3 linked regions of the Anolis sagrei genome follow. The protein of the gene in region 1 interacts with the protein of each later gene in a pairwise test. Links are inferred from orthologs where the notes say so. Each region holds a gene or a part of one and is shown on either strand. Other genes may lie near its edges.

Region 1 (7,450 bases):
ACTGGATGGCCCATGAGATCTCTTTCAGTTCTATGATTCTATGAACATGAAATCGTACATGATCGTAAGATTTTCCAAAAATGCACCTGCCCGGTCCCTGCCATTCTGGGTGTGATAACAGAAGAGGCAGCCTATAAATAAATTCCAGTTATCATATTTGTATTATAAAGGGGAAACCACACTCTTCATTCATACTCAATTTCTAAAACTTATGAACCATGAAACTGGCTCAGCCAGGTTTCACTTAGCTAATCATCACTGTCAGGCAAAGCAGTACTCCTGGACTATGGAGGAGATTGATAGTACAGCAGGTCAATATAGAGGCAGACTTTTAAAAAGAAACATTCCGCTAATAATTATTTGCCCTGTACAAAATCAGAAGTTCTAATAAGGATGTAAGAAAAAAGCAGAAGGTCTGCAAAGGGTATAAGAAACTCCAAGCAATTTTGTGGACCTCCTAGCATCATGGGTATAAAAATTTAGTTTTGGGAGTCGAAATGCCTTCAAATGCCCTCTACAAGAGTGGGCGTTTTCACTAGGTTTTTTTTTGTTCCTAGAGTGTGTTTTGACAGATGGGGCAAGAAATATGATTTCTGCAAGGGGTTCAGGGAGGAAAATGTGGCTCCAAAGTTTCCTGGGAGCTAATATTTCCACATAGCCTTCTACAGTTGCCAACTCCCAGATTAAGATATAACAACAACAACTGCTTTGCAACTAGAATATTGGTTCTCTCTCTCTCTCTCTCTCTCTCTGTGTGTGTGTGTGTGTGAAAGAGAGAGAGGGAGAGAGAGAATAGGGCTGTCATTCCTGTCCAGATAGTTTTCCATCCGCATGTCCAATTAATGTAATGGCATTTGGGTCATGGATCAGACAAAGATCAAAAGAAAGTGACATTCATCAGGGACACATAATAATAATAATAATAATAATAATAATAATAATAATAATAATAATTTATATTCCACTCTATCTTCCCGGAGGGACTCAGGGTGGATTCCAAGCATAAAAGGCAAACATTCAATGCCCGAATACAACAATACATCCACACTAACAAAATTTAACCAACCCAGCATATAAACACAAATTATGACTTAACAACTAAAATTAAATGAAAAGCACAGCCTGTTATAGCAGACATAAGACAAAACATCAAACATTGAATGGAAACAATAATTTCCGAGTTCCTTGGGGCAAATCTGTTAACATCAATTGTCCCAAAGATTTACTTCTAAACTATTTAACTTATTGTATATACTCATTTATAACCGTAACCCAAAACCTTCCCTCGATTTATACATGAAATAGACTTACATATGAGTACATATGATACTTCTATTTTGAACCACTATACTGGACATAGGTTTGGAAATGGTTAGGTTGCATGTTGGCTCCTCAAACTAAAATAACATATTTTCCCATTCACTGATCTTCAGCCTTTGGGGTGTAATAGAAACTAAACAGTAAACGAAAACAATTGCCCATATTAATTTACACAATATACAAAAATTCATATACAATCCCTCTAACTCCCTTGTGTATGCATGCTTTGCAAACAAAACACAGCACTCCCTTGAGATCACTTTAAAAGGCAATTTGGTGCGATGAACGCTTTATAATGGGTGTTTGGCAGCTGTAATTGCTACTTCGCATGATGGTTATGTAGTCTCACACAGATTACTGAGCCCACTGTCTCCCTTTAGCATAGTCTTCACTACTTCAAAATATATAGCCAGGATCATCTAAGGCCTCAGAAAAACAACAAGAAAAGAATACAAAAGGCTATATAGAGTTTTGCTACCTTTTAATGACCCCGTTTCCAAATACACAGCTGCCAAAGGAACATATAAATATCTGAAATCATTTCCCCAAAACAATATAATTCCATCTCCACATATCGCAAAAGACTTCTCCTTTGTAATTGTTTACTTTGAGAGAAGAAGAAAAAAACCCATGACAAATGTGATAAACTCCACAAGTTGTCAAGCACACACAGGAGGATTGCTGAAATTCCACAAAGTTAAAGATTCCCACATACTTTTCTAGAAAAATATAGAGTTTATTTAAACAGGGAACATTTCTTACTTGCAGGTGTTCCACTTTAGTATGCAAAATTGTAGCCTCAAAGACGATAAGATAATTCTCAGTTTTTAAAACAAGCAATTGGGAGGGGTGTCTTTTGAAAATTAAAAATATTTTTTCCAGATCTACATACAGAAGTCAGATCATACAGTTATATTAAGGAACCCCCAAATGACAGGCAGTCTCTCTCTCTTTGTGATAAATGAAAAAGACAATGCATTTCAAGACAAATCATGTTAAATAATTGGAATAGCAAATCTACCTGCTGTCCCATTGAACTTTTTGTGTGGTAGACTGGAATAAGATTGTACTATTGTAGTGTAGTGGTTTGAGCATTAAATCATTGAACTGGAAGAGACCCAAAGGCCATACAGTCCAACCTCATGCCTTGCAGGAAAACACAATCAGATCACCCTTGATGGCCATCTAGTCTCTACTTAAAGACCACCAAAGAAGGAGACTCTAGAAACCACTTTGGTTCTTTGCTCAGCCTTGGAAACCCACTGGGCAGCCTTGGCTGAGTCACACAGTCCAAGAAAAGCTCCTGATAGATTTGCCTTAGGCTTTCCATAAGTCACAAATGTCTTCAAGGCACACAATAGCAATGTCACCCTATATTCTCTTCCCTTATCCAGTGAAAAGATAGTAAGACACTGAACTCTCTTGACATTTTAACAACATATAAGCATGTAAAGATAACCTCTGATGAAAGGGAACACCGGCTCTTGATTACCTGGTGTGAGGTGTGGGTTCTCTTTAAACTCTGTGGTGTATGCTGATGTTCCTTGCAAATAACAGAAGAAAGGAAATCCTCAACATTCCTTTAGGACTCTTCAGGTTCTCCCCAAAACAGCACTGCAGGGTGACAAAAGGAATGGCTCCTGAACATGAAAGCACTATCCTTTTTGCGCTTACCTTGCTGGATGGCGTCTGTGTGTTCCAGTCAGGGAGTGAGGCGAGACAAAGGCCGGCACGGAGGCTTACTGCTTTATTGGATTACCCAAACTATGTATTTAGCAATTAGACTGTCAAGAGTTCCCTTGCCAGATGAGCTATAAATACAGTTATCTCCAAAGAAGCAGCCATCCTGAGCGATAAGAACCAGAGCATCTCCGCAGGAGACGGCCTTTTAAGGAATCATTTGTTAATGGGGCCATGCATTTGTGATGGGAGCAAGAACAACTTTGCTCCCTTTATTCGTGAGGCCATTCCGTATCTTCCACAGGGCTAAGCATGTTTCTCTCTAGAACATTTTTACAACCAGTGAGTCCTATACAAAGCTTAGACTGATTTTTTTCAGGACTGCAACTCCAGAATGCCCAGTAGCCATGCTAACTGGGGTATTCTGCATACTACTACCCACAGAAATAATTATTATAAATGTTGACCACCAATTGGTTTCTGTTTTTCCTGCCTTCCACCATCCTGCATTCAGAAAATGATCTACACTTCAATTCCAACAATGATATACACTCCTGATTTGACTGCGACAGTTTTGATTAATTCTCTGTCAGCCCACTTTCGCAGTTGCTTTGAAAATGTTCCAGTTTCTGACTTCTCCTCCCACTTTTCCCTTTTGTCCTTCTTCAAATGATGCAAACTAAGGGGCCTTCTACACATGCAGTAAAACCTGGAAGTAACTGGGATAAAAGGGAGTGGGATGTCTAAAAGATGTTTGTAGAAAGTGCAGAGAGAATCGGATTAACAGCTGAAAAGCACGTGTTTAAAAAGTGAGCTTAAAACCCGATTCTGCCCAAAAAATGCAAATCTATGTGTAACAGTATATCTCTGCAATCATGGAAAACACATGACTTCCTTCCCATCCCCTGTGTGGACTGCTCCAGCACATGTGTTTTAAAAGCCCAAAACTGTCAAAAATTGAGTCATGGACACATGGGTAGCTAACAGGAAGCACAATCAGAAAGCAATTAGAACTCTCTGCAACCATGCCTTTCTTTCTTATAATATTAAACAAAGCTTGAATTAACAGTTGGGTGAAAAGAGAGATTAGAAATCTGCTTGTGTGTAGTAGATCTCTGCATGTGTGCATATGAGATCCAGCACATTTCTGAGAGAATTTCTTTTTTCAAAAACTTCTACTGGATGTTCCTCTTCCCTCCCCCATCTTGATTTGCTTCAAAGGAAGGCATAAGGATGGTGAGGGACCATATCCTGGGACTGACAGGTCTGTGTGTGAACTTGCTCTCAGATCCAGGATTTTTTCCCCAGTTTTTAAACTTGCATTTTGAAGCTATCTGGAAGTGCCTTAAATTCAAAATGCAAAATTTGCTTGCAGTTAAGAGGCCAGAGTCCTGCCCTTCCCACTAGACTCAGGCAAAGTCAAATTGCTGTTGCTTCTCCCAGCTTGCCTGTTATTCACCATTATATTAATGGGAGTTGCTCTATTGTAGCTTTGCTCAGATGGCATTTCTTCGAGTCATGATAAGTCTTCCTGTGAATAATAGTGTGCTTATGAGTAAGGCAAAAAAACTGTGTTTAGTAAACCACATATACAAAGGGAAGATACCGAGGAGAAAGGAGTGTTTGGGTACCTTCCAGGTGATGGTCTGAGCTCTATCAGTCAAAAGGCATATTCCTGGTATATTGATAAATGCCAAATAAAGGAATGCTTGAATAGGGTCTTCATAGGAATGTTTAAAGAGGTCAAGGCCTCCATACGCACTCAGTACTGCTATTTAATCTTTTATTCCTTATTGGCTTTGTGTATGTGTGTATATCAAGGGGAAAAAATTGAAGAAGCACAAGAGGATTAGAAATGAAAGATCACCCAAGCAACTGTGGCTTTGGGTTGGAAAGACCATAGAAAGTAGAAAGTTAAAAAATGGTGTGAATATTTAGCAGATTATATGCTTCAGGATTACATCTATGAAAGAAGAACCAAATATACAATAAGCAGATTTAAGAAGACCTGGGTTCAGAAATGGGAAAAAGTGATAGAAAAAGTCAAATGAAACAAAAGATATAAAGAGCTGGACCATTCTCTTTTCACGATTGTTCAATTAAATTAATATCTGCATAATGATAAGTACTGTTCCCTGAGGGTGGGGGAGGGGGGAGGAGGTGAGGGGTCTAAAATTGTTAGACAAAAGGGGAGGTAAAGATGAGATTGATAAGATGAAATCTGACATTGTCTTCTCTCACCACTACATCTCTGTGCTCAAGATAAAGAATGTAGCCTGGTCAGTGAAGGAACATGATGGGAACAATCCTCTTCTTGAAGCTGCTACCTAAGAGCCCTTCCACATACCCTATATCCCAGAACATGCACTCAGATAAGCCAGTTCAACTATGGACTCAGATAAGCCAGTTCAAAGCAGATGTTGTGGAATTTTCTGCCTTGATATTCTAGGATATAGGGCTGTGTGGAAGGGTTGGGTCCTATAACTTGTCCCAACCTTTTCTTCACAATGATAGGTTCCAGAGTTTGGAAAATGTATTTTTGCAGGTTCTGGAAGTCTGGGAATTGAAGAAAGGTGGCATATCTGAAGTCTTGGGATGTGTTTTGTTGTATGGTACACCCACTCAGAGAGCTATCACTCTGCATTGTTATAGAGCTATAATTCCCTTCAACAACCATTACAACATTATATGAAATCCTAGAATTTGCTAAATCCCAAGATTTTGCATTTAGGAAAGGGCATTTAGAATTCTCAGACAGAGACTTCTTGAACCTCACAAAACTACAAAGCTCAGAATGGGAAAGAAAGTTGTCATGGTAGTTAAAGCAGACAATATAACAATATAGTGTGAGATCTCCGTTTATTTTTAAGAGAGTTGTGCACTAACCCATGCTTGCCTTAGTAAGTAGTGGCTCATTCTGCTGTGGACAGAGAACCTCTTTTATGCTCCTGTTGGAAACTGTTTGGAGGCTCTCTGGGTTCTGTGGCCCAGAATGTGAGTTCCAGCCATAACTGAGCTACTGAGCACTTGGCAAAATCACCTCTTTTAAGAGGGAATTGTACAAACTCATTCCACATATACTTACACAATTTTAATGGTAAGCCAACATATTGGTTTCTTTTTTAATTGTCTCTACATGTATCTGGAAGTTCCATCTGTCTCCATGTGTGATGTTACCTGATGTGCTTGAGATAATGTCCTTAGTTTGCTAAAGACAATCCGATCAGATTGGGAGCATGCTGACTGTCAGAGGGAGCCCTGATCTCCTTAACCTTTAAGACAAAAGCTCTATTCGGATGTGCTATTATTTGGCCTTAATTAGCATGCATAGAGCAAGAATGAGTAAGACTTTGGTTGCTTTTCTCATCATCCTCCAAATGTCAGAAGTGTTCAATTTTTTTTGAGCGACAATTCCCAAATACGCCAGCCAGCATATTCAGTGGTTCAGCTTGTAATAAGCTTACTTTTTCCAATAATAAAATATGACAAAGCTTCCCTATGAGGTTGCTCAAACAGATAACAAACTCTGAGTTCCTATCAACTTTGGACTTCCATCTTATGGACTTACATATTTGTAGAGAAGAGTGGAGGTCTGTCCCTATAGCGATTGCAATAAAGCCTTTCAATTGCAAATCACTCCATGAAACTTTTACTCCTTCCCATCCCATTGTTTTCTTGAAGTGTTCTTGACCCCTTGTAGCTTGCCTTCACATTCATCACACTGGGGAAGGCTTGTCAAATTCTCTCTGTTTCCCCCCTCTTCTCTATCAGCCGAAAAATCTCTCTTTTTCTCTTTCTCTTTTTTCTCTGCTGCTTCTGCCACCACCTCCCCAGCCAAACATTGCTCTCCATTGCTCTCTGTCTGCAATAGCTGTCTCTCATTTTGCAGCAATGAAACACGACAGGGGAGTATAGTTTCTATTCCATGTGTTTTAGCCTTAAAAAGTGGATCAAATCACAACAGCAGCTCAAAAGACTTTTACTCAGCCATGGTGGGAGCTCCTTTCTTCAGGCTCATTTCAATGATGGATGGAACACATGGCAGCTGAAAGTAGTTCAACATCATGTGATGGGCTCCATGCCTCTCCATCTCTGAAATGTGCCTGAAGTGTGTTAAGGTTTCTGTAAAGCCAGCAAGTAAGTTTTGTGGGGGATTACTACCTTCCCTGCACCAAGTGTGTTAAGAGAAAAAGGATTCATTCTGGTGGTTATTATATGCAGGTTACATGAATGTTCTCATTAAAGTCAGTAAGTCTGGGCCACTCCTGGTTGGGTATAACTAGGTGCCTATTGGGATACATGATGCACTCCCTCTTTTGCTCTCTGAGTATGGAAGTTGGAGAAGCAATGCCATCTGTGTTGGCATGATTGCATACAAAGACTATGTGCGTTCTGTTGCTCTGAAGGATTGTTATCTTGATGCAATGCCACAAGCTTATCTTACTGTTTT
Region 2 (7,918 bases), on another chromosome or scaffold:
ATTATTATTATTATTATTATTATTATTTAGATGGGGGAAAAGAAAAGAAAAACTATCTCATATCCAGGGGCAATTTAAAGATGGGCCTAAAGCTAACCTTTAAAAAGGTGGTATAAACACCAAGAACTTGGAAGCCCTGGCCCTTGAAGGTTCAAATTGAAGATCAGCTGTTACCCTAGTGCTATGGACTTTGAAGAGGCATGAATAGAGGACAAAAGGAAGGAATGTTTCAAGAGGAAGGTGCATCAAGCAAACCACCTTCCATCTGGAAATCTATGTCCTCAATGTGATAATCCACATGGATTCTGGATAGGTCCCACTGCCAAGACTCTATCTCTGGAAGACAATCATATTCGGCCACAAGCAATCACTCATGATGATAATGATATAACAATATTGCTGCAGAAAGAAACCAGAAGAAAATATTCTGTTATGAAAAGTTCGTATGGATTGAAAATTTGTTGGCCCACAAATTCATAAAGATGATCACTGACCAGTTTCTATAGGCTCTAACCCAGACCTTAGAGGTTGAAGACTCAGGCTGGATCTACACTGCCCTCTATGCAAACATCTGACCCCAGATTATCTGCTTTTTCCCAGATTATTTGGCAATGTAAACTCATATAATCCAGTTTAAAGTAGATAATCTGGGATCTGATTCTGGGATTTAGGCCCCTTCTACACTGCTATATATAAAATCCAGATTATCTGTATTGAACTGGATTATATGGCAGTGTAGAAGGGGCCATAGACTAGTTTGGCAACATCCATTCCACAGGTTGAGCTCCCATGCCCATGTTTGTCAAAGTATTATATGGCATTGTAGAAGGAGGGCATAGAGCAGGTTAAATTCAGCCTTAAACTGGACCTACGCTGCCCTTTGTCCTGGGATCTGATCCCAGACTATCTGAGTCTACACTTCCATATAATCCAGTTCAAAGCAGATAATCTGGATTTTATATGGTAGAAGGGACCTAAGACTAGTTTTGCAGCATCCATTCCACAGGTTGAGCTCCTATGCCTGTGCTTGTCAAAATATCTAATGTGAAGCAATGTTTTTCCTAATGTGACTACTATGGGCCCTTCCACACAGTCACATAATCCATAATATAATGGCAGAAAACCCCGCAATATTTGCTTTGAACTGGGTTATCTGAGTCCACACTGCCATATATTCCAGTTCAAAGAAGATAATGTAGGATTTTATTTAGATGTGTGGAAGGGCCACTGATATTCCAGTCCAAAATTCATTGAATCATGGCAGCTGATGGCCCACTGATAGGTGTCACTAGTCCTTCTACTTTCTGGGTTCTAGTGCTAGTGCTCAGTTTAGTACTATGTGCATACCTTAGTAATAATTCTGGTAACAAATGTTACATCTAATAATAACAACAACAACAACAACAACAGAAGAAGAACAGGACCTCTGAGCTCACAGTATGTCTTTTGTATTCTCAAAAGTATTTGGTGCCCTCTAGAGTTGTAAGCGCTCCATGCAGTCATGCCGGCCACATGACCTTGGAGATGTCTACAGACAACGCTGGCTCTTCGGCTTAGAAATGGAGATGAGCACCACACCTGAGTCAGACACGACTGGACTTAATGTCAGGGGAAAACCTTTACCTTTACCTAAGAGTTGCAAGGCATTTTCTCTGAAACAGCACAAGAGGATGGTATCTAGTTTAGTTGTAATTCCTCCACATTCGTAGTTTTGACTTTTGCTAACAGCTGATATGCTGTTAGGAATTGTGGGCGTTGAAGTCCAAAACACCTGGAGGGCCAAAATTTGCCCATGCCTGATCTACACTATACTTACTTATTTACTTAGGCGATCCCTCGTTGTCCGAGTAGGACTGTCTTCCAAGATCGGTGTACTGGTAGATAACTGTGGAGCCCTATTCCTAATCTGCATGTTCTCTTCCAATGAGGGCACTGGTTTCCAGGTAGAAGGCGGTCCCGGTCAGGGTTGGCTTGACGTACCTTCCTCTTGGCATTTTTTTCTATACCAGTTTTTAAGGTTGGCTTTGAGCCCATCTTTAAATCTTTTTTCCTGCCCACCAGCGTTCTGTTTTCTGGTCTTGAGTTCAGAGTAGAGCAACTGCTTTGGGAGACGGTGGTTGGGCATCCAGACAACGTGGCCAGTCCAGCGGAGTTGAAGGCGGAGGACCATCACTTCAGTGCTGGTGGTCTTTGCTTCTTCCAGCACACTGACATTTGTCCGCTTGTCTTCCCAATAGATTTGCAGGATTTTTCGGAGGCAGTGCTGATGGAATTGTTCCAGAAGTTGCATGTGACATCTGTAGACTGTCCATGTCTCACAAGCATATAGCAGGGTTGGGAGGACAATCGCTTTATAAACAAGCACCTTGGTATCCCTACGGATGTCTCAGTCTTTAAACACTCTCTGCTTCATTCGGAAAAAAGCTGCACTCACAGAGCTCAGGCGGTGTTGTATTTCAGTGTCAATGTTGACTTTTGTGGAGAGGTGGCTGCCAAGGTAGAGAAAATGGTCAACATTTTCTAATGTTACACCATTAAGCTGTATTTCTGGCATTGCAGAGAGATTGGCTGGTGACTGCTGGAACAGCACTTTGGTTTTCTCGATGTTCAATAACAGGCCGAGCTTCTCGTATGCTTCTGCAAAGGTGTTTAGAGTGGTTTGTAGGTCTTCTTCTGAATGTGCACAGACGACATTGTCATCAGCATATTCGAGTTCTATAACAGTTGTAACTTTGGTTTTGGCTTTCAGTCTGCTGAGGTTACATAGCTTGCCATCTGTTCAATAGATGATTTCCACTCCGGTAGGAAGCTTCCCATCAACAAGGTGAAGTATCATAGCGATGAAGATGGAGAATAAAGTTGGGGCAATAACACATCCCTGTTTAACACCTGATTCCACCTTAAATGGGTCACTTTGGGAGCCATTGCTGACCAAGAATGTTGCCATCATGTCATCATGGAGGAGCCGCAGGATGTTCACAAATTTGTTGTTGTTGGTTGTTCATTCGTTCAGTCGTTTCCGACTCTTCATGACCTCATGGACCAGCCCACGCCAGAGCTGCCTGTCGGCCGTCACCACCCCCAGCTCCTTCAAGGTCAGTCCAGTCACTTCAAGGATGCCATCCATCCATCTTGCCCTTGGTCGGCCTCTCTTCCTTTTGCCTTCCACTTTCCCCAGCATAATTGTTTTCTCTAGGCTTTGCTGTCTCCTCATGATGTGGCCAAAGTACTTCAGCTTTGTCTCTAGTATCCTTCCCTCCAATGAGCAGTCGGGCTTTATTTCCTGGAGGATGGATGGGTTGGATCTTCTCGCAGTCCAAGGCACTCTCAGTACTTTTCCTCCAACACCACAGCTCAAAAGCATCTCTCTCAGGGAATACCATGGCTTTGACTATGCGGATCTTCGTTGCCAGTATGATGTCTCTACTCTTTACTGTTTTATCGAGACTGGACATTGCTCTCCTCCCAAGAAGTAAGCGTCTTCTGATTTCCTGGCCACAGTCTGCATCTGCAGTAATCTTTGCGCGTAGAAATACAAAGTCTGTCATGGCCTCCACATTTTCTCCCTCTATTTTCCAGTTGTCAGTCATTCTTGTTGCCATAGTCTTGGTTTTTTTGAGGTTTAGCTGCAACCCAGCATTTGTGCTTTCTTCTTTCACCTTGATTAGAAGGCTCCTCAGCTCCTCCTCGCTTTCGGCCATCAGAGTGGTGTCATCTGCATATCTGAGGTTGTTAATGTTTCTTCCAGCAATTTTCACCCCAGCTTTGCATTCATCAAGCCCCGCACATCGCATGATGTGTTCTGCATACAAATTAAAAAGGTTGGGTGAGAGGATGCAGCCTTGCCGTACGCCTTTCCCAATCTTGAACCAGTCTGTTGTTCCGTGGTCAGTTCTTACTGTTGCTACTTGGTCCTTGTACAGATTCCTCAGGAGAGAGACAAGGTGGCTTGGGATGCCCATCCCACCCAGAACTTGCCACAATTTATTATGATCCACACAGTCAAAGGCTTTAGAAGAGTCAATGAAGCAGAAATAGATGTTTTTCTGAAACTCCCTGCCTTTCTCCATTATCCAGCAGATACTGGCAATCTGGTCAAAATAAATAACAAAATTAATTTGTTAGGGCACCTGATTTTTTTGGAGGATGGTCCAGAGAGCACCGCGATTCACTGTGTTGAATGCCTTTACAAGGTCAATGAATGCCATGATCTACACTATAGAATGAATGCAGTTTGATACCAGTTTCAATGCTATGGGATCCTGGGAATTGTAGTTTGGTGAAGAACCATCACTCTTTGGCAGTGAAGATGAAAAACCCAGTAAAACTACAACTCCTGGAGTCCCATGGTATTGAGCATTGGCAACTAAAGCGGTGTCAAGCTGCATTCATTCAAGTGTGGACGACTTCCTAAAATGCTGAAGGATTCCCAGACCCAGGTGAGTCCAGGTGGTTCTTGGGGGCGGAGAGAAGTCAACCTAATTTTTCTATTGGCTGCTTGTCAAAGACTTCTCCTGCCTCCGACCAATCATAGGCCTCTGAAAATAAATCCCGCCCCTTCATTAAGCCCTGCGCGTCGGGATGTTTGTTTGTTTCTTCTCTCTTCTCCCTCGCAATCCTTTCCTATCAATCCGCGGGAGGCGTGACGTCGTTCTCAACGCCCATTGGCGAGAGTTCAAATCAATCTCCAGTTCCGCGCAAACCGATTGGGCCTCGACCTGGCGTCCGTCATTGTCAAAACTCTTCATTTCTATTGGTTCAACCGGGACACTCGAAAAAGAAGGCGGCGATTGGCGGGAAGGGATGTCAATCGTGCCGAAGGCGGCAACGTGAGTCAAGATGATGGAAGCTGATTGGTTACTCTCTAAAAATGCAGAGCAGGGATTGGCCACCCGTCAGAGGAATAGGCGGGCCTTGCAGGGCGGTGCCCGGGCTGCTGAGGAGGAGGAAGATGGCGCCGTGAGGGGGGTCCGAGCTGCTGCCGCCTCCTCTTCCCCGCCGGTAAGTGAGCCTAGCGGGGCGGGCTTCAGGCCCTGAGGAGGGGAAAGCGGTCCCGAGAAGTGGGAGTGGAGTCGCGAAGGGGAAAAAGGAGGGCTCCGTGGAAAGGGAGGGGGGCTCCGAGGGAGGGGGCCCGGCGCGCGCGAAGGGGGCTGAAGCAACTGGGACCGGAAGGGGGCGGGGCCAAGCGGAGAGCCCGCCTCCTCGGGGACCCGTCAGAATCAGGCGGGCTTCGGGCAACCAGCGTGCCTAGGGTTCAAAGGGCAGCGAAGGGATCCCGCTCAAGGCTGATATCCTGTAGGGCCAGGTTCCAGAAGCATTCTCTCCTGACGCTTCACCTGCATCTATGGCAGGCATCCTCAGAGGTTGTGAGGTCTGCTGGAAACTAGGAAAATGGGGTTTATATATCTATGGAATGACCAGGGTGGGAGAAAGAACTCTTGTCTGTTGGAGGTAGGTATGAATGTTTCAATTGGCCACCTTCATTATTTATTTATTTACTGTATTTGTATAATAATAATAATAATAATAACAACAACACTTTATTTGTACCCCGCTACCATCTCCCCACAGCCCGGTGGCGCAGTGGGTTAAAGCACTGAGCTGCTGAGCTTGTTGACCAAAAGGTCGCAGGTTCGATTCCAGGGAGCGGCATGAGGTTCAGCTGTCAGCCCTAGCTTCTGCCAACCTAGCAGTTCAAAAACATGCAAATGTGAGTAGATCAATAGGTACCGCTCTGGCGGGAAGGTAACGGCGCTCCATACGGTCATGCTAGCCACATGGCCTTGGAGGTGTCTATGGACAACGCTGGATCTTCGGCTTAGAAATGGAGATTAGCACCACACCCCAGAGTCAGACATGACTGGACTTAATGTCAGGGGACAACCTTTACCCTACCCTTTCCCCAAGGGACTCGGTGCGGCTTACATGAGGCCGAGCCCAAACACAACAATGCAAGCAATAATCACAACAATACAAGCAATTAAAATAAAACATACACGATAAACATATAACATTATCAATAAGACAACATAAAATTTAAAACTATGCCACCTTTCTCAGCCCGTAGGTGATTCAAGGCGGTTAACAGGGCAAAATTCAATGCTTACAATGTCATAAATACAATTAAAAACATAACATATAATAAACACCAACAAATCTATATAAATAAAAATGTAATGTTGGTTTGTGGGATTAACAACTCAAAAGCCACTGGACGAATTGACACCAAATTTGGACACAAGACACCTAACAATCCAGTGTATGTCCTTCACTCAAAAAATTGATTTTGTCATTTGGGAGTTGTAGTTGCTGGGATTTATAGTTAAACTACAATCAAACAGCATTCCGAACTCCACCAATGATGGAATTTGGCCACACTTAACACACAGGGCTCCCATGACAGAAAAAACTGGAAGGGTTTAATGGGCATTGGCCTTGGGTTTGGGAGTTATAGTTCACCTACATCCAGAGAGCACAAATGTGGGCTCAAATAATGATGGATCTGGACCAAATTTGGCATGAATATTCCATATGCTCAAATATGAACACAGATGGAGTTTGGGGGACATAGACATTGACATTTGGGAGTTTTAGTTACTGGGATTTATAGTTCACCTACAATAAAAGAGCAGTCTGAATCCCAACAACAACAGAATTGGGGCGAACTTTCCACACAGAACCCCCATGACCAACAGAAAATACTTAAGGCCATCCAGTCCAACTCCCTTCACCAGGGGAAGAAAATATAATCAAAGTCCTCCTGACAAAGAGCCATAGATATAGATAGATATATTTGATTCACACACAGGGAGATACAGTATCATAGATCTGAAAGGGACCTCTAAAGAAGGACAATTATATGTTGCATGTTCCAGAGTAGGCAAACCAGACAATTTCCCTATCAACACTGACAAAGAAACAGCAAAAAAATACTTTTTACCCACAAGCATAAAGACGTTACATATATTAGAAATGAACACTTCCTCATTACTTTATTTTCCAGATCACCAGACTGGGCCACAGCAACACGTGGCAGGGGACGGCTAGTCTATATAAATAAAAATGTAATGTTCATTTGTGGGATTAACATAACTAAAAAACTACTGGACGAATTGACACTAAATTTGGACACAATACACCTATCAGGCCAATGAGTGACCATCACTCATAAAAACACTGGAAAATAATAATAATAAACTGGAAAAGCTGACACGATATGAGGATTTAAAGAGCCAGTAAAGGTGGTTCCAGTGGTGATCAGCACACTGGGTGCAGTGCCTAAAGACCTTGGCCTGCACTTAAACACAATCGACACTGACAAAATTACCAGCTGCAGAAGGCCACCTTACTGGGATCTGCACGCATTATTTGCCGATACATCACACAGTCCTATTCACTTGGGAAGTGTCCGACCTGTGATCCAATTCAACAGCCAGCAGATTATCTGCTGTGGACTCATCTTGTTGTGTTCCAAATAATAATAATAATTATTATTATTATTATTATTTATACCCTGCCACCATCTCCCCGATGGGGACTCGGGGCGGCTTACATGAGGCCAAGCCCAACAATGCAGTACAATAAATGAAATAAAAAACAACAAAATCAACAACATAATAAATTACATAAAACATAAGAATACAGCAAACAATATAAAATTACAATAAAATCATTCATAACACAGGAACAGTGAGCGGGCTTCATGTACAGAGTGAAATACTAAAGCTAAAAACACGGGGTGAGATAGAGATGGAGTAGATTGTTTGTGAGGGAAAACCTCTTCAGGAATGGGGTCGAGAAGGGACTTCGTGCGGGAGAGGAGGTGTACAAATGTTGAGGGATAATAGCAATATAAGATTGCATGGTTAATCTCCAAAAGCGCAACGGAAAAGCCAGGTTTTGAGATTCTTCTTAAAAC
Region 3 (7,128 bases), on another chromosome or scaffold:
TTTAGCTGTCACGTATCGCATTTTCAGTTCCAAAAACTGACCTGGGGTTGGGCTGTGGCCACACATTAAAACCCCTTTCCCAAAAAGAGAAATAGAAACTGGCTGATATTTATGCAAAAGAAACAAAGTATAATTTGGGGATGCAACAAAGGTAGAAGTATTTGACATTCATAAGAGAGACCAGCCAAGGAAACCCACTGGATGATTTGGAAAAGTCATGATCTCTCAGCTTCAGATGAGGGCAAAGTGAAACCCTGAATACATGAAAAGCTGAATAAATCTTGCCATGGAAACCTGTGATAAGACCGCTTTAGGGTTGTCATAAATTGGAAATGACTTGAAGGCATACAACAAATGAGAGATGGAAAAGTAGATTGGGGTCATAGGAGAGTAAGAGGAAACTGGGAAAACAATGTAACTGGAGGGTTTTAGGCATAGATTGTAGGAAGGTAATATCTGAGGGGCACGGGACTGGTAATTGTTGTGGGTTTGTTATGTTAATTTGATAGTTTAATGTTCTCTCTTTCCTTCTCTGTTAGAAAAGTTCCTCTTAGAAGCAAGGTAGAATATAAGATTTTAAAAGAAATAAACCAATAAACAAAATAAATTAAAAAACAGGGAGACGCAAGAAAGAGATATGGAGGGCAAGATTCATCTTGAAAGTGTGGCATTGTAAGAAACAAAAAGGTTTTTAAAGAACTGGGGAATAAAGCATTGAGAGCAATACATGAAGGAAGAAAAGAGTGAAGAGAAATAATTATTGCAATAAATTGGAGGAACAGGTCAGAGGTCATCTTTCAAAGACAAAGCCGCAATCTATATGACTCTGACTATTCTGCTAGGGACCTAATATTGTCACTTGCAAATGCCAGGGATTCTAGCCACAGCCTTCAGTGTGATATATTCCAATTTTATTGCCAGTATTTCTTGTTCCATTTTATATTGGACAGACTGGAATAAATGGACACAAGCAGACATCAGAAACAATTATATATAATTCAAAATAATATTCACAACTCAGTGGGAGAAAACCTCAGAGTCCCATTACATTTGCCACTGTTATCAAGGTGGCTATCATTAAACAAAAGAACTTCAAAGAACTTCAAAGTACAAAAAGACCCCTCAAAGGGAGATTCCAAAAGAACAAGTATTCATCATGAGGTTCACCTCTATCACCTCTCATTTGATTAGAGACTCAGGCTTTTTATCTCCCTGCATGTGTTAATCTGCTCATCAAAGAAATGGTTTCTGTGTTACCACTTAAATACTGTTTGTTAATGGCAACTTTTAAGGTAATAATGATAACTGCTCATAATATATTTAAAATCCGTAATGCTAACTGCTGTTTGTTAATGGCTATTTTTCATCCCTATTATTTGCTAATGTACTTCTGCTTTTTAATTCCTTCCTATCCCACTGGTTACATCCCCTGTCCACCCGCTCGGTTGCCCACCTCAACATATATTTAATAATCTACCCACTGAGCCATTAATTCACTCATCTGATGAAGTGGGAGGCATGAAAACTTATGGCACATAAAATGTTTTCAAGCGCCATGAGACTTTTGTGGCTAAAAAGGGAGCGTGAAGGGGACATTTCATTTAGAAGCAGGAAGTTTGTGAAGTTGGGCTGAGAATTTTGATCACATGGGAATTTGGGGGGCTGTTTTAATGCCAGAAGGCTGCCCTTGACAAATGTATCCTTCTGGAATACAACACCCAGAACCCCCACCCAGCATACTTTGTTGAAAAAGTGGGGTATATCCTAAAGCAATGGTTCTCAACCTTATTTTGACCAGGGACCACTTTGACCAGAGACTATCCTCCAACATTAGTACCAAAAAGGTTACGAAATGGTTTTTTGGTCAACTTTAGATTCAGTTTGCTTATTTGGGGTGCTGATTCAAAAAACTGCATTGGATAGACCACATCAGCTCTGGTTTCTGATACAGAACATATGCCATCCAGTAGTCACCATCTGCTCACCCACAGAAAACCATATTTAATAATCTCTAGAGCTGATGTGGTAGTAGTAATATTTTGTGGATGGTCAGCCTTTCCCCTCCCAACATCCCCGTTGCCTCAGCACTATAAGATGGTTCTGCAAGACCAGTCACTCTTGTTGCTGAGTGGTTTCGAGGCAACGGAGTAGTAATGGTGAGGCCACGGACCATATTTTCATGCTTGCAGACCAGGGCCTCTCCAGATGATCTGACAAATCGTGTGGGCTCATATATGGAGATGCGGTCACGCAGGTAGGCGGGTCCCAAACTGTTTAGGGCTTTGTAGGTAAGCACCTGCACCTTGAATTGGGACTGGAAAATGAATGGCAGCCAATGGAGCTCCTTAAACAAGAGGGTTGACCTCTTTCTGTAAGGAGCACCAGTTAACCACCTGGCCGCCGCCCGTTGTACCAGTTGGAATTTCTGAGCCGTTTTCAAGGGCAGCCCCACATAGAGCGCATTGCAGTAGTTCAATCTGGAGGTGACCAAGGCATGGACCACCCTGGCCAGATCAGCCTTCATGAGGTCGCAGTTGGCGCATGAGTCTCAGTTGTGCAAAAGCCCTCCCGGCCACCGCCGACTCCTGAGCTTCAAGCGTAAGTGATGAATCCAAGAGGACACCCAAACTGCGGACCTGTGACTTCAGGGGGAGTGTAACCCTGTCCAGCACAGGTTGCCACCCTATACCCCGATCCAGTTTACGATCAACCCAGGCCCGTAGCCAGGATTTTGATCCGGGGGGGGGGGGGGGGCTGAGTTTGTTTTTTTGGGGGGGGCTGAGTCTGAGTGAAAGAGGGTCTACCCTAGCAAACCTTTTGTATTGTTACCCCAATACCCCCATGCATATGGGATATATTGAGCACGGTGATCAGATCATGATATGAATAAACATAACAGTTTAAATAATGCACCAGTAAGGCCTTTTCGCGAACCACCATGAGAATTTCAGGGGGGGGGGGCTGAAGCCCCTCAAGCCCCCCCCCCCCCCCCCCGGCTACATGCCTGACTCGACCAGGAGGACCTCTGTCTTGTCGGGATTGATCTTCAGCTTGTTCATCCTCATCCAGACAGCCACAGCAGCCAGGCACTCGTCCAGCACCCGAGGGGCTTCCTTGGAGTTAGGTGGAAAAGAGTAGTAGAGTTGTGCGTCATCTGCATAGAGCTGGCACCCAACTCCAAAACTCCGGATGACCTCTCCCAGTGGTTTCATGTAGATGTTAAAAAGCCATCTGTCAGGGGTGATTTGAATGCAATATTCCTGCTTCTTGGCAGGGGGTTGGACTGGATGGCCCATGAGGTCTCTTTCCAACTCTATGTTTCTATGATTCTTCTGCAGGCTAAACATGCCCAGCTCTTTAAGCTGCTCCTCATAGGGCTTGTTCTCCAGACCCTTGATCATTTTAGTCGCCCTCCTCTGGACACATTCCAGCTTGTCAATATCTCTCTTCAATTGTGGTGCCCAGAATTGGACACAGTATTCCAGGTGTGCTCTAATCAAGGCAGAACAGAGGGCTTTTAAACAGAGGCTGGATGGCCATCTGTCAGGGGTGATTTGAATGCAATATTCCTGCTTCTTGGCAGGGGGTTGGGCTGGATGGCCCACGAGGTCTCTTCCAACTCTTTGATTCTATGATTCTATAGGCCAAAATCCTATTGGCTTGTTTTTACAAGAAGCAATATGTGTGTTTGTGTCTACACATAAATATCACACAAACACACCAATATATACTGTTGTAATGATGTTATTCAATAAAAAATATCGTTTTAATATTTCAAAAATCGAAATGACTTCTTGCCTCAAACCTTCCCCTCACCATGCGCTTCTTCTTCTCCTCTCACCTCAAACCTCCTTCAAAACACTCCCGCCTCGCCCGACGGGGACGAAACCACGCCCCTTTTCGGCCTTGGCTCCGCCCACACCTGCCGGGCATTCCACTTTCCCAACCGTTCTTTCCAGGCTCCACCTCCTCCTGCACCCTCGTCCAATCAGAAGACCCGGGCTGTAAACACCCCAGCCGGGGCGAGGCGAAGTTGGGTGGGGGCGGTCTCGCGCGCCCCCTCCCCTCGCGGCCGAGGCAGCCAATCAGAGCTCCGAGGGGCGTGGCTTGTGTCCATGGGGACCGGGGCTGGGCTCGGCTCAGTCAGGGAAGGTCTCGGCTCGCCCCCATTGTTCGCGCGGAGCCAGTCGGAGCGGAGCCAGAGGCGAGCAGGGCGGTGGCGACGGGGCCGGCAGGTGGGTGCCAAGCGGGGGGCTTGGAAGGGGGGCAGCCCTCACGAAGGAGGGGGTCGTGAGGCTTTCCGAGGGGGGTTTCCTGTGGAGAAGGCAGCCCCTGAAGGAGGGGAACCCATTCCCTGTTTCCGGAAGTGGCCAGGACTGTCCCAGAGACAACAACAAGTAACACCTGGGGACCGGAAAGTGCTGCTCAAGGCATTCAGGGTCATAACCCCAAACTCTTCTCTTTTCTCTGCCTCAGCCTATAGGATGTGGAGACCCTATACAATAGGAACAAGAGCTCCTGGGGTCGAATTGGGCGTGGTGGGAGAAGGAAAGGAAGGAACAGAACCCTCAGTAGGAGTGGGTTAATGTTAGGGAAATGTCCAAAATAGTATTTTAAATACAAGACAGGATACTAAACTGAGTAGTCGACTCACAGCAAGCAGGAGGTGTAGTGTTGTGACTGTGAAACAGGCATGGGCAAACTTCGGCCCTCCAGGTGTTTTGGATTTCAACTCTCACAATTCCTAACAGCCGGTAGGCTGTTAGGAATTGTGGGAGTTGAAATCCAAAACACCTGGAGGGCCGAAGTTTGCCCGCCGGCTGTTATGAATTGTGGGAGTTGAAATCCAAAACACCTGGAGGGCCGAAGTTTGCCCATGCCTGCTGTAAAATATTTACTGAACCAAAGATGCAGACTTTCAATTCTTACAGTTTCAAAAAGTTTATTTAAAATATATTATTTATCTAAAACATTTATATTTCGCCCTTCTCACCCCAAAGGGGACTCAGGGCGGAGCACAGCATATATATATATATAAGGTGAACATTCAATGCCTAGACAAGGATTCATATACACATACATAAACATTAAAAAACATTTATCATAATATTAAAATTCACCATTTTAAACCGTCTTGGTCATCTGCGTCAAATCTAATCCACCTGGTAATTTTTCCTATTGCTACTTTATTGTCCTTTTTCGAACGCTTGGTCCCACAGCCAAGTTTTTACCATCTTTTTTTTTCAATATTTTTTTATTAAGTTATTATACATATGCCTAAAAGAGAAAGGTTTACAAGGAAAGTGGGAGAACATTTAGATATAGGATAGTAGGAAATTTTTAGAATCCGTATATATAAAAAAAAATATCAAAAAAATAGAGAAATAATAATACTACAAAATAAAAAGGTTTTGTTGACTTCCATTCTGTGTCTTCGCTTACAAATTTTTCAGTTTAAGTTTTCTCTTCATATGTTGTTAAGATCTTTCCTTTAGATGGTTTTCAAATAGTGACCAATTTGTATCCTTTATTGGTTTTCCCATGTTTTTCTTCAAAAAATAGGTTGATTTGTCTATGTCCTTAATCTCCTGTAGTTTGACTATCCAGTCTTCTGCCTCCGGAGTTTTGCCGATTTTCCAAATTCTTGCATAAGATATCCTTGCTGCCGTTGAGATATAAGTAAATAAAATATCAATATTTAAGTCTGAAGAGAATTCTGAGTCCATAATATATTTAATAAGTAATATTCTGATTTACTTGGGAATTGTATTCCCAGTATTTTTTTTTGTGTCTCTTGGTTAATATTTTTCCAGTAATTTTGAGCTTTCTTACACAACCACCACATATGAAAAAAGCTGCCCTCTGCCTCGTGACATTTCCAACATTTCTTGTCCATATTTTTATACATTGATCCTAATTTTTTGGGTGTAATGTACCATTGATGGAACATCTTAAGCCAATTTTCTTTTAAGTCCATTGCATAGTTCAACAGTGGAACTCTCTGCCTCAGGGTATGGTGGAAGCTACTTTCTTGGAAATTTTTAAACAGAGCCCAGATGACCATCTATCAGGGATACTGATTGTGCTTTTCCTGCATGGCAGGGGGTTGGGCTAGATGGTCTATGTGGTCTCTTCCAACTCTATTACTCTGTGATTTCTTGATAGAAAATATTGGGCCTAATTTTCTCTCTTCCATTCTTCTTTATTTTTATTTATTAAAATAAGCATAAAATGTAATTTTTTGTTGCATACAGTGATAATATTGAGACATCTATTATATTTTCAAGCTGCTAAGTGTTCGTTAGCATTTCTAACACATTATCTATAATTAAGGACTCTCTGGCATCTGTTTGAGTAGGACAGGTAAGAGAGTCAGAGATTCTAAGTTAATATCAGTTTTCTCTTTGCTTGCAGCCTTATAGGATCCTCTGTGGATATTTCTACAACCAGCTTAGCTTTATTTTATTGTTGAGTTGCTGGATTGCCAGCTCCCATTCTTTAATGACTTACACTATATAAATCCTTTTGGTTTCTAGACCATTGCTACATCAAACTATATTTTCACATCTGAAAACCTATTGTTTTTAGTTATCACGCAACTGTTTGTGTAGAAAAGGTTCGGTCTAAGCTTCTCTCTAACCCTATTACTTCTAAGATTCAAACAAAATGGAAAAAATTCTAAATACTACATTTTCTCAATCATGCAGAGTAGAGAGGGTTCTGAACGAAAGGGTGAAAAAGAAGTGTGACCCGAGGCCTTAAAATGAGAGGACATGCATCCTAAAGAACTGCCATTCTATTTCATCAATTAGAATGGGGGAGAGAGAAAGCGAGCGAGAGAAAAACAGATGCATCAACAGCCTAGCCTAAGTTATCTAGTTGCTTCTCATTGAGGACTGCAGACTTGAGCAGTGTGTGGTTGAATTCCAACAGCTAAAGAGTAGACAACCTTACAATACGTCTGGAGGAAGTGAGGGGGCATTTCTTCTGGGAGAGAATTTTGACATCCCTCGTTGGGTTAAAGAGCTAATAGCTCCTTGCCCTTTAATCAAAGGTCTCAAGTCTTTGCAGTTTGGGGGTTTCCCTTGTCAGGGTAAATTACAATGATGAACAGAAGGGCTTGCATTC

The links. The genes of interacting proteins can lie anywhere in the genome.
Region 2: the proteins of FHL2 (region 1) and SP2 interact in binary tests that used the Homo sapiens proteins (3 or more experiments, as listed by UniProt). The two-hybrid records come from large-scale screens. The link is inferred for Anolis sagrei from reciprocal best matches to the Homo sapiens genes FHL2 and SP2.
Region 3: the proteins of FHL2 (region 1) and JUP interact in binary tests that used the Homo sapiens proteins (3 or more experiments, as listed by UniProt). The two-hybrid records come from large-scale screens. The link is inferred for Anolis sagrei from reciprocal best matches to the Homo sapiens genes FHL2 and JUP.

Annotation. Positions count from the first base shown.
Region 1 is NC_090023.1:105,899,729-105,907,178, forward strand, and holds the start of FHL2 (four and a half LIM domains protein 2), read right to left. Parts: upstream 3,100-7,450; 5' UTR 2,995-3,099; intron 2,987-2,994; exon of another isoform or gene 2,813-2,986; intron 1-2,812. UniProt on the Homo sapiens protein: May function as a molecular transmitter linking various signaling pathways to transcriptional regulation. Negatively regulates the transcriptional repressor E4F1 and may function in cell growth.
Region 2 is NC_090026.1:34,176,788-34,184,705, reverse strand, and holds the start of SP2 (transcription factor Sp2), read left to right. Parts: upstream 1-4,908; 5' UTR 4,909-5,001; intron 5,002-7,918. UniProt on the Homo sapiens protein: Binds to GC box promoters elements and selectively activates mRNA synthesis from genes that contain functional recognition sites.
Region 3 is NC_090026.1:38,502,068-38,509,195, reverse strand, and holds the start of JUP (junction plakoglobin), read left to right. Parts: upstream 1-4,118; 5' UTR 4,119-4,235; intron 4,236-7,128. UniProt on the Homo sapiens protein: Common junctional plaque protein. The membrane-associated plaques are architectural elements in an important strategic position to influence the arrangement and function of both the cytoskeleton and the cells within the tissue.